Linked DNA regions of Alligator mississippiensis. Each later gene encodes a partner of the first gene's protein in a complex. Links are inferred from orthologs where the notes say so. Each region holds a gene or a part of one and is shown on either strand. Other genes may lie near its edges.

Region 1 (3,746 bases):
CGGGCCGAGGGCCGCGCTCACTTACCGGGACGCGGTCTGGGTACTTGGCCCGGATCTTCGCCGACTCGACGCATCGGTGCTCTGCGAACAACGCGCGGATTAGTGCGGGGCCGGGCGGCCGGGGGGGCCTCCCGGGGGGCGCGGGGTGTCCGGCCTTACCCAGCGCGTGGTCCTCCTTGAACATCCACTTCATGGCGGCGCGGGGCCAGGCTCTGCCGGGGTCGGAGCCGGGGTCGCGGCGGCCCGGGGGCGCTGCCGGGGCTGCTCCGGGGGCGGCCGGGCCTGTCGCTGTCACAACAACAACAGCTCGGCGGGCGGGACTTCCGGCCCCCCCGTTGCCCAGCAACCAGAATAGGTTGCGGAGCTTCCGGCCCACGGTGACCGAGCAACGAGGAGGGGGCGGGGTCGCGACATCCGGGACCGGTGACGCGAGGCGGAGCCAAGCCGCGCCCCGCGGCCACGTGATCCACTTGCTAGTCCCCGCCCCCGGCGTCTGCTGTGGTGACGTTTACTAGTGGACGGTGCCGGTACTGGGCTGACACTGACTGGGCGGGGGGCGGGACTCGGGCGTCCTCAGCTTCAGGCGCTGATTCGCTGCTGGACGTAGGCGCGTTATTATTGGCCGCCGCGCACTGGCCCCGCCCAGCCGGAGCCACGCGCGGATTGGCTCGGTTAGGTCCCCGCGCGCCGGCCGCGGTTGCTATGGCGACGCAGCCATGGGCCGCGTGGAGCTGTTCTCGGAGCCCGCGCAGCGCACGCGGTACCGCGCCGGGCTCTGCTCCGCCGCCGCCCTGGGCCTCGCGCTGCTGGGCGCGCTCACCTACGTGCCGCCGCTGCTCGTGGCCTACCGCAGCCACGGTCCGCGGCCGGGCGGGGCTAGGGTCCGGGTCCGGGGGCCGGGGTGGGGCTGGGTGGTGGGACTGGGCGGGGCGGGGTGGGGTGCCCGCGGCTGCCGGCTGACGGCGCGTCCCCGCAGGACTGTGGCGCACGCAGGCCGCGTACCGCGAGCAGCCGGCCGTCCGCTTCCGCTACGAGGCGCTGCTGCTGGCCACGACGGCGGCGCCAGGCGGCGGCCTGGCCTGGAGCACGTTCCCCGCCTTCAACCGCCTACAGGGAGAGCGCCTGCGCGTCCCGCTCGTCGCGGTGCGTGTGGCGGCGCCGGCCGGGGCCGGGGTGTGCCCGGTTCCCCCGTCCGCTGTCGCCGCAGCCCGGCCAGGCCCCTGGGGTCAGGCTGGGCGCAGGCTGTCACCTGCCGCGGGTGGGAGGTGGCTGCAAGCGCTGCTCTGGGCACAGCCCGCGGGCCTGGCTCGGCTCCAGCCCCTTCCTGCAGGCCGGGGCCATGCATGCTCTTCCCCCTTGGAAATCCTTCCTAGTGTCGAGGGTCTGCCGCTGGGACCGTGCTGGCACCAGCACCAAGGCCAGAGCGTCATTAGGGTTCCTTGTTACTTGCAGACTAGAGAAGAAGATAAGAATCAAGATGGCAAGATGGACCGGTTGCATTTTAAACTGGAGCTTCCTTTGAAGCCAGAGGAGCAAGTGCTTGGCGTGCAGCTCATTCTGACTTTCTCCTACCAACTGCACGTGAGTCCCCGTCTGCCTGTAGTGCTCCTCGGTGCAGAGCCAGCGCCGGCTTCCCAGTAGCAATGATATCAATCAGCGGTTCTCAGCGTTTTTGTACAGGACCCATTTGTGAACATCGATGGCCAGTCCCGACCCAGTTGTGGGGCAGCCGCGGTTTCCCACGTTTTTTTCCTTTTAAAGGAGAATCCATTTTTAAAGCTTGTTCATTACCCTTTCATATATTCTTGTGACCCACTTTTGGTCACACATGTGACCCATGGGTTGAGGAACACTGATCTAAAGTGATAATAACAGAAAAGAGAAGTGATTGCAATACTCTAGTAGGTGAGACTTATGTTACGACTTATTTTTAGAACAGTGAATTTTCATTCTAATTCGCTTTTCCATTTGTACTCCTTTAATGTAAGGCTGTGGTTCTCGACCTTTTTGGAGTCAAGGCACTCCATGTTAGATTCAAAGCAACTTTCAGAAAGTGCCAGCTTTGAATTTCTAGTCATTTTTTGCCTATAGACAGAGCAGTTTTTCTTTTGCAAAGAACTTGGGCCACAACAGGTCAGAACGCTTTTAACACTCTGGATTCCTATTTGAAATCTTTGGGCTTAGCTTGTCAATTGTGTTTGCATGCCTAACAGCGATAACACTGTGTGGCAACCCATGGCACTCGTGAAAGGATCGTGACACCCAGATTGAGAATTACTGATATAAGGGAAGGTACATTTCCATTGGTTGATGAAACTGTCCAAACATGTAGGTTTACACTAGGTTTGCTATATCATTTTGCTACCAAGGAGGGTCCTTTAACACGTGTATAGTCACATCATAATGTTCTGTGATGTGTGGCATCATAAATATTTAATAATTTGAGAAAGGAGCCAATCAGAGCTTGGAGAAGGGCAAGCTGTAAAGTAAGAGTATTGGCCTCAGTGAAGGACTTGGATGATTCCTGAAGTTGTGTCTTAGAGCTTGAGCCCAGGTCAAACGCTTGTGATGGCATTACCAATTACTTGCATCCTCAACATAGCATGTAATCTGTTCTGCCATATTTATGAAGCTTGACCTCAGAAAGTGAGATGTTTTCCCTGGTTTCTGCTTTGTCTAGGAAAAGCGTACAGCTTACGTCTTGCAGATTGTAAAAATTCTTGCTGGAGGCTCATGAATTCAATGCATCTTTTTTAAATAGCTTTTAAGAGATTAAAATTTTAAGTAGGGCTGTCAATTATTAGGGAAGGGACGGGGCAACAAATCAAGGCCCCATGGTGAGGGACGGATTGGAGCAGAGGCTGGGGTGAATGAGGCCCCGGGGCCAGGGTGGGTTGTGGGACGGAGTCATAGGTGGCTTGTTCAGGGGCATGGGGGTGGTGCGATTCCCCGCTGCTGTGTGCTCCCCTGTGGGGAGCATGGGGTGCATGTGCCCCCCAGATTTGTGTATGGGGCAGAAATGGGCTGCAGGCTGGGGCTCTGTTCCCCCCTGCCTTTGCCCTGGGAACTGCACGCTGGCTGTGCCGCATGTCCCTTGCCCACCTGTGGTGGGAGGCACAACATAGTGTCACATGGCTCCTGGGCCAAAGGCAGCAGGCACAGAGCGTCAGCTTACAGTGGGCAGCCTGCCTCTGCCCTGTGCATAAATCTGGGGGACACATGCCTCCCCCACAGGTGTGCACAGCAGCAGGGAGCTCCATCCCTCGTACTTTATGTCCCTGGACAAGCCTCCCACAGCTCTGTCCCATGATGCGCCCTGGCCCTGGGGCCACATTCGCCCCAGCTCCTTCCCCACTCCCTCCCTCACTGTGGGGGCCTCAGTCTGCCCCTCCTGCCCCTTCCCTCTCCCCGTGGCCCCTCCCCTCCAGATTTACTTGCTGGGTGCTGCTCTACACACTGCTGAGTTGCATTCCTGTAGGGTTACCACACTTTGTTTAAAAAAAGAGGGCATTGGTGGGGAGGCAGGTGGTAATATGATTAGTGGGGTGGGGGCAGTGATATGCCCGTGCCCTACCTCTGCCCCTCACTCCCAAGCCACAGCCCTCCCCCCCAGCCCTGCTGCTGTCCCTTACTCCTGACCCACAGTACCTCACATCTGCCAGGGTGTTCGGGGCTGCCCACCCCCGAGGCTCTAAACCCCACACACACACCCCCAGCACCCCACACCTTCACAAATCCCCCCCTCT
Region 2 (3,746 bases), about 75 Mb from region 1:
TAAGGTAGATCACATCACAAATGATAACTGTCTGTTCTTTAGGGTCGCAAAGATCACTTCATCTTACGATCTGCTACAATCCTTGCAGGAACACAGCTGTTTACATGTGCAGTGCCACGTAATACCAAAGCCCTGACCACTCATGGTCATTGAAAATCCTTTCAATGGCCAAAAAAATATACTGCTTGATTTTATGCCTTTCTAGTTAACAGGCCCAGAATATTCACAGCCGGGGATTAAACTGTCATTCAGAAATTCATTATTAGACCTTTCTGAAATATATATAAATACCTATAAATAGGTAGCAATGTGCATTGTGTGCAAGAACAATGAGAAACAGCAGTCCTAGGTGACTGCTGATGCAAATTTCAAAGAATCAGGAACCAGCACTCAAATCGGGGTAATTTATTCAGGAAGTGGGCTGAAGAGCTATACTTATTGTTCCGAGAAGTCACATGGAGCTATTTTGAATTGAGTCTAAAATGAGCTTTGTTAATTCCTGTTTAAGAAGCTGAAGTCTATACAAAAGGTATGTACTAAAATGGACTATAACTGCGCAAAAAGGAAACAATGGTCAGTACAATTATCTTGATTTTTGGAATATATTTTAATATTTTACTCTATAGCTTCCAAAGGCTGTTGGAGAGAGGAGAGAAAGAATGCTTGCTCCTAAAGAGAACAAAGATCAGCTCATGGTACTTAACGATGGCTCTGATTCTCTCATGTTTCTGGTTAACATGATTATAACTCCTATAGGCAGGGTTTTCAAACTATCATGGGTAGACCAGTAGTGATCTGTTATGCTAAGACACGGTTCAAATTTACCCAGGTCCTGGGACAGATCTAGACTGCAGGAGCTACTTCAGGGCTGGATTCACCAGGCCAGCAACAACTGCCGTGGGTCTGCACTCAAGCGGCAATATGGAGCCAGGGGTTGTGTTCGGGTGGCAGCATGGGGGCAGGCAGCAGTGTGGGTCTGGGAGCCTGCTGCCAGCAGCCATGTCCACTGGGGTCCAGGAACCCTAAATTGTGTGGGAGGCCACACTCCCCAGCCGGCTGGACTACTGGTGGGCCTGATCCAGCCCGCGAGCTATATGCCTGACACCCCTGTGCCAAGACACTGAGTCTGTTTTGACACAGAAATCAAACGCAGCCCGTTTCAAGCCCAACCTTTTTGCGGAGGTCTCCCATCCGAGCAGACGGACCTAGCCCCAGGCACAGAGAACGGCATACTAACTTAAGTGAAATCCGTGTAGTTCCCGAGCCTGTCTCACGTAGCCACCCGAAACGATAACGGGTGGACGCTACATCACCTCATCCTCATGTCAGGTGTAGGCTGGAATCAATCCGAAGGCAACAGTAGGAGTTTAAGTATCAGCCCTATGCTTTAGTGAAGAAAGGTGCTACCCCACAGAACTACTGATAATATCCCCATGCTCCTCAAAAGGGACCTTTTACAATGTAAAGCTCTCTCTTACTGCAGAAAATATCACAACTCACTTCCATCCAGGAAGAGCACACACCGACTGCTGAAACTTCCTTAGCCTGACGAAGGGTTTCTGAACCCAAAGGCTTGCTTAATAACTATTCTCCAACTATTTGGGTTGGTGTAATAAAAGATATCAAATTCACCCAAGGAACCTTGTCTCTCAACTCAAGAGACCTTTATCTTCCCGCTCCTTGGAAACGTCCTTTGGCTGTAAAGACAGACGGCCGAAACTAACTGCAGAACCAAGCCTCCACCCGCTGAGATCAAAGGACATTTTCTTACAGAATTCAATGGAGTGTAACACAGTTCTGTAATTTCAACTTGAAAGAATTATAATCATTTATAAACTTACGTGACAACAGGAACTGAACACGTAGTGAAGAGGCTGAAGTCTGCGGCGCCGCAATCTGGGTCGCAGCAGCAATTGATGTCACACTGTGCCACCAACAGGTTACAGACGCACAGCTTCGCAACTGGAGAGAACATTTAAAACACACTCGGGACTGGAGGTTAGTGGTTACAGCGCTCCCTAGCACCCGCTCTTCACGCTGCCTGGACGCTTCTATGCAAGTTCTCAGATGTTAGCCTTTTTAAAAGCCATGGGGTTACTTTTAAAGAGAAATAATTCCTCTCCAGCCGTTAATCTGCTAGGAGCAAACGACCAATGAATCTGTATTGCTCGCGAGCCCAACGCGCGGGCTGGAAATGCCAAATAACGATCGTGACACGGGATGCAGAGAGAAAGGGCAGTCGAAACGATATAGGAATATTAGCAAAATTTATGCCAAGTATTCGATGACACCCAATCCCACCCAGCACACGTGACCCAGAGAAGGTTTTTCTGATGTGCTGCTCGAAGCAAAGCTGCTGGTTTGTTGGGGTTTTTTTTATTTAAACATGTTCTCTCTTTCCTCTTCTGTAGACTGGGAGGGTGCACACCCTGCAAGAGCTTGTTTCCATAAAATAAGGCTGCGGGCTCGCAGCACGAGGACACGTCTGTCAAGCACAACAATACTTACGGTTATAAACAAGAGCCTGGTCTTTTAACGCGGGTAACTCAGCCCCAAACTCAAGACCAAAATACTTGAGGGCGCACGCGGGGCCTGATCCTGGCACCTGCAGATTGGTGGAGGGGACGCTGGGCCCCCCCCCCAGGGCCTCATCCCGGCACGGGCCCGATCCTGGCGCGCGGCCAATGCCTCCAAAGACCCGCGGAGGGTCCTGTCCCCCCGCCCGGGACTCTCCCGCCACGGCCCCGCTCCTCATGGCGCCGGCACCCACCGTCCGTGAGCGGGGCGGCGCTGGGGACCGGCTCGGCCCCCCCGGCCAGGAGCGGGAGCGGGAGCAGGAGCAGCAGAGCGCCCAGCCGCAGCGCCGCCGCCATGGCCGCGGTCACCAGGCAACCGCCGCGGGGCATCACGGGAGAGACGCTAACCCCCCCCCCGCCGCAGGGCATGACGGGAGAGGCCGCGGAGCATCACGGGAGATGCGCTAATACCCCGCCGCAGGGCATGACGGGAGAGAGGCCGCGGAGCATCACGGGAGAGGCGCTAATGCCCCGCCACACGGGCATGACAGGAGAGAAGTGGTTCCACCGCCGCGGGGCATGACGGGAGAGAAGCTAAGCCGCGGCCGCGGGGCATCCTGGGAAAGAAGCTAATCGCCGCCGCGGGCCACCGGGCCGCGGGGCATGACGGGAGAAAAGTGGTTCCACCGCCGCGGGGCATGATGGGAGAGGAGCTAATGCCCACCGCGGGGCATGGCGGGAGAGTGTCTCAGGGGCCGGGCTGACAGGTGGGTGCACGGTCCCTGCTGCTCTGCCGAGGGGTCCGGGCCCGGCTGGGGGCTCCCGGCTCTACCCCTTTGGGGCAGGCGAGCGGGCCGCGGGCTTGGCCCACAACACGATTCCCGCCTTGCGCTGTTTTCTTGCCGTCGGGGGAGCTGGGCGCGGAGCGTAACAACCACGTAATGACAGGGGCCTGGGGCAGCGGGAGGGTCGCCTCAGGGCAGCGTCTGTACCGACTTCCCTGGGAGAGCCGCCAAGATCGCGGCTGGGCGTGCTAGCGGTACGGTCCCTCGGTCAGGAATCGTATGGCGCTGTGCTGATCCCGCGCTGAACTAAGCGTTACTGAACGGCTGCAAAATACAAGTGAAGCGATCCGTTATGGCAAGCTTATTCTCTCTAACGCTGATTTAAAAACCAAATTCTTTGCTTAAGAAAAGCGCTCCGTCCTTTAAGACGCTTCCAGGTGACGAT
Region 3 (3,746 bases), on another chromosome or scaffold:
CCCCTCTGGCCCCTTCCCAGCAGGTGTGAACCCCCCACGGGAGCTGTCAGCGGCCCCATGACTCCGTCCCCCACTCCTTGCAGAAAGGGAAACTGAGACTCAGGAGGGGGCGCCTGGGCTGCCCGCCCCCTCCCCCAGGTGCCAGCAGCACCGAGACGGCGCGGTGGGGGAGGGGAAGGCTGTGGGGACCCCAGGGACACCCATGGGACCCAGGTGTCCGGGGCGGACGGAAGTACATGCACTCAGGCACAAACCCCAGATGTCCAGGACACACACATACACACACACGCGTGTACAAACTCTTGAGGCATCCAGGACATAGACCCATACATGCGTGGAAATGCACTCACGCACAAGCATGCACACGTGTGCGCTCAGGCATAGGTAACCCAGGGGGCTCAGACACACACACACACTCTCGCAGATGCATGCAGAAAAAATACAGGCATCCAGGACACACACACATGCACACCTATGTGCACAGAGAACCCAGGTGTGTGGGACACACGCACAAAACCCAGGCATTTGTGGGGGACACACACATACAAACAGAACCTAGACGTCCAGGACACACACACACAATCCAGGTGTCTGGGAGACAGAGAACCCAGGCATCCAGGGCATGGACACCCCCCCCCCGCCAGGTGTCCCACACACATGTACACACACACAGAGCTCAGGTGTCCAAAATGAACACATACATGCACACATACACTATCTGGGACACACACGCGCACAAACACGCACACACATGCACATACCCACAGGCACACATACATATGGACACCCCACACACCCACCCATACATACACACGGGCACACGTGGTGCAGTGACCCCCCCTCCAGGGCCAGGCACCCCACGTGACCTGGGCAGCGGGGCCTCCTGGGGGGGCGGCACGAGCTCCCACCCAGGGACCCCGGGGCGGTGTGAACAGATGGAGCAGGGAGGGGGGTCTCCGGAGTGTCGGGGGGCGGGGCTGGGATCTAAGGGGGACGGGGCAGAGAGCATGTGACATGCCCCTTGTGTGTCTTTCCGTATGTGTGCGCATGTGTGTGTGTGAGATGCCTGGGGAGTGTGTGTGTGATAGCAAGTATGTGTGTGTGTGTGTACCAAGCAGTGCGAAAACTGGGGGCTCCAGTAGGGCAGGCTCCCCCCGCCCGGAACTCCCCTCTGGCCCCTCCCCAGCCCCGGCAGGCGGGACCCCCCACGGGAGCCGAGGCAGGCGACGAGGAGGACGATGCGGACCCGGAGCAGGGGCTCGGGAAGCCCGGGCCGCGCCAGGCAGGGCCGCTTTTGCCCAGTTGTATCACGTTACATTTACCGCGCGTGCCCGCGCCGTGGCGGCTGCACTCCGGCGGCTGCCTCAGGGCCCGGGGCCAGCTGGGGCTCCCAGGGGTCCGGCAGGACGGGGGGGGGCGGGGGCGGGACGTCTATGGCGTTGTGTCCTGGCAGCCGTCCTGGCACGTGCGCGGTCGGCACACCGCCCCCGCCAGCCCCGGGGCCGAGCCCGCAATTGCCCGCAGCTCGCGGGCGCGCGTCGTAGGCGGGGGAATACGGTAGCCGGAGACTTCGCGTCGTAGGCGGGGGGCGGGGGGTGAGCCGCCCCCGTCGCGGGGCGGGGTCCTGCGCTTGGGGCCCCCATCGTAGCACCCCGTGGGGGGGGGGGCAGCATTAACCCCTCAGGTGCCAGAGCCCGCAAGGGGGGGGCATTTGCCCATGGCGAGGGATTACCCTTCTTCCACGGGGGGGTGCTGCCATTTGCCCATGGGGGGGACTTTCCCTTGCGGGGGGAGAGCTGGTGCCAAAAATGCCCCCCTCCCCGGCAACTATGGGGGGGCAGCCCGACCCCGCGCGCGGAGCCCCCGGGGCATTTCGAGCCCGACGCCTTCACCGCTCGGGGCGGCCACGTCACTCCGGGTATGACGTCAGCGCGGGGTGACGTCACACCGCAGGGCACAGCTTGCCCCCCCAGCAGAGCGCCGGGCGTTACCCGGGGAGGGGGAGGGGCGCGGGGGCCGCCGGGAAGGGGGCGGGGCGTTGCCGGGCACCGGCCCGATGGCGGCGGCGGCGGCGCTGGTCCCGTGGCGGTTCCTGGCGCTCGTGGCCCATCTCGTCATCGTCATCGGCGCCTTCTGGGCCCGGGTAGGGCGGCTTGCACACGCCACGCGCCTGCATTCTGCACACGCATCGTGCACGCGTATGGGGACATGCACACGCATCGTGCACACGTGTGGGACATGCACACACATCACACATACGTGGGACATGCACACGCAGGGGACACCCCCACATCGCGCACATATAGGGGCACACCTTGCACACACATGAGGCGCACACTGCCTGCAATTGCAGGCAACACGTGCACACCACGCACGCTCATAGGACATGCACATGCATCATGCACATGCATGAGACATGCACACACATCACACAAACAGGGGAGATGGACATGCATCATGCACCCCAGGGGACACACCTGTGTCGTGCACACATAGGGGACGTGCAGCTTGCACACACATGGGTTGCACACTGCCTGCCACCACAGGCAGCGTGCACACACTGTGCACACTCATGAGACACCTACACGCAGGGGGCATGCCGCACGCCCATATGGCTGCACCCGGGGGAAGAGGCGCACGCTGTGCACACACACGGGCCTGGCGGGTGAAAGTGGGGGGGGGTCCTGATGCCCGGGGTCCCTGCAGCGCGGCCCCCCCAACCCGCGTGCCTCTGTCTGTGCCGCAGGAGGACAACGTCCGGGCATCGCTGCCCCTGGACCACACGCCCGAGGAGTACGGCCGCCGCGACACCGAGTGCGTGCCCACCCGGACGTACCTGGGGGGCCGGGGGCGAGAGCAGGACGGGGCTGGGAGCCTGGACACATGGGGCCTCTCTGCTTTTGGGGGGGGGTCTTGAAAGCCCCCCTGCTCTGGGTGCTGGGACGGGAGTGAGGACCAGGGGGTGAGAGCAGGGGGCAACTGGGAGCCTGGACACCTGGGGTCTCTCCAGGCCTGGGAGCTTGCCAGGCACCCAAGGGGCAGGGGGCCCGATCCTGGGCCCACCCTCTTCCTCCCCCACCCTTGCAGGCTGGTGGTGGCCCTGTCGGTGACGCTGGGGCTCTTCGCGGTGGAGCTGGCTGGCTTCCTCTCAGGGGTCTCCATGTTCAACCCTCTGCAGGGCCTGCTCTGTATCCTTCTACCTCTTTTTTGGGGGGGGGTCTCTTTTGGGGGGTCTTGCCCTGCAGCTCCGGTTGTGGCCCCTGACACCCCCCCAGCCTGCGGGGCCCACGTGGGCGCTGCCCTTGCCCTCCTCTTCGTCCTCTTCGAGCAGTGGGACAGCGCCACTTACTGGGGGATCTTTGCCTGCGGCAGGTCAGTGCCCCCAACCTCCCTTCCCCCAGACCTGGAGCGGGGAGGTCTTGTCCCTTGCCCCCCAGCCAGCAAGTGCCCCTGGATCAGGCCTGGATTGGGGCCCCCTGGAGGTGGGAAGACCCCTGCCCCCCCCCAGCCAGTGGGTGCCCCAGATTGGGCCAGCACCTCCCAGAGGTGGGAAGACCTGTGCCCACCGCCCCTGCAGGCAGTGGGTACCCCTGGATCGGGGGCCCCTGGATGTGGAGAGATCTGTGCCCTGCCATCAGGCCCAGATCGGGGCCCCCTGGATGTGGAAGACCCATTTCCCCCCCAACCAGTAGGTGCCCCCCCAGTCAGGCCCTGGATCAGTCCCCTTTGGATGTGGGAAGACCCCT

The links.
Region 2: TMEM231 (region 1) and TCTN1 share a complex: the UniProt entries of both Homo sapiens proteins name them as parts of the tectonic-like complex. The link is inferred for Alligator mississippiensis from reciprocal best matches to the Homo sapiens genes TMEM231 and TCTN1.
Region 3: TMEM231 (region 1) and TMEM107 share a complex: the UniProt entries of both Homo sapiens proteins name them as parts of the tectonic-like complex. The link is inferred for Alligator mississippiensis from reciprocal best matches to the Homo sapiens genes TMEM231 and TMEM107.

The regions. Positions count from the first base shown.
Region 1 is NC_081833.1:77,757,326-77,761,071, forward strand, and holds the start of TMEM231 (transmembrane protein 231), read left to right. Parts: upstream 1-701; 5' UTR 702-716; coding exon 717-858; intron 859-976; coding exon 977-1,143; intron 1,144-1,452; coding exon 1,453-1,581; intron 1,582-3,746. Other genes in the region: GABARAPL2 (gamma-aminobutyric acid receptor-associated protein-like 2), read right to left, coding at 26-81, 160-193. UniProt on the Homo sapiens protein: Transmembrane component of the tectonic-like complex, a complex localized at the transition zone of primary cilia and acting as a barrier that prevents diffusion of transmembrane proteins between the cilia and plasma membranes.
Region 2 is NC_081833.1:3,218,466-3,222,211, reverse strand, and holds the start of TCTN1 (tectonic-1), read right to left. Parts: upstream 2,765-3,746; 5' UTR 2,756-2,764; coding exon 2,509-2,755; intron 1,963-2,508; coding exon 1,842-1,962; intron 1-1,841. UniProt on the Homo sapiens protein: Component of the tectonic-like complex, a complex localized at the transition zone of primary cilia and acting as a barrier that prevents diffusion of transmembrane proteins between the cilia and plasma membranes.
Region 3 is NC_081838.1:25,053,222-25,056,967, forward strand, and holds the start of TMEM107 (transmembrane protein 107), read left to right. Parts: upstream 1-1,015; 5' UTR 1,016-2,056; coding exon 2,057-2,143; intron 2,144-2,746; coding exon 2,747-2,814; intron 2,815-3,087; coding exon 3,088-3,188; intron 3,189-3,275; coding exon 3,276-3,372; intron 3,373-3,746. UniProt on the Homo sapiens protein: Plays a role in cilia formation and embryonic patterning. Requires for normal Sonic hedgehog (Shh) signaling in the neural tube and acts in combination with GLI2 and GLI3 to pattern ventral and intermediate neuronal cell types.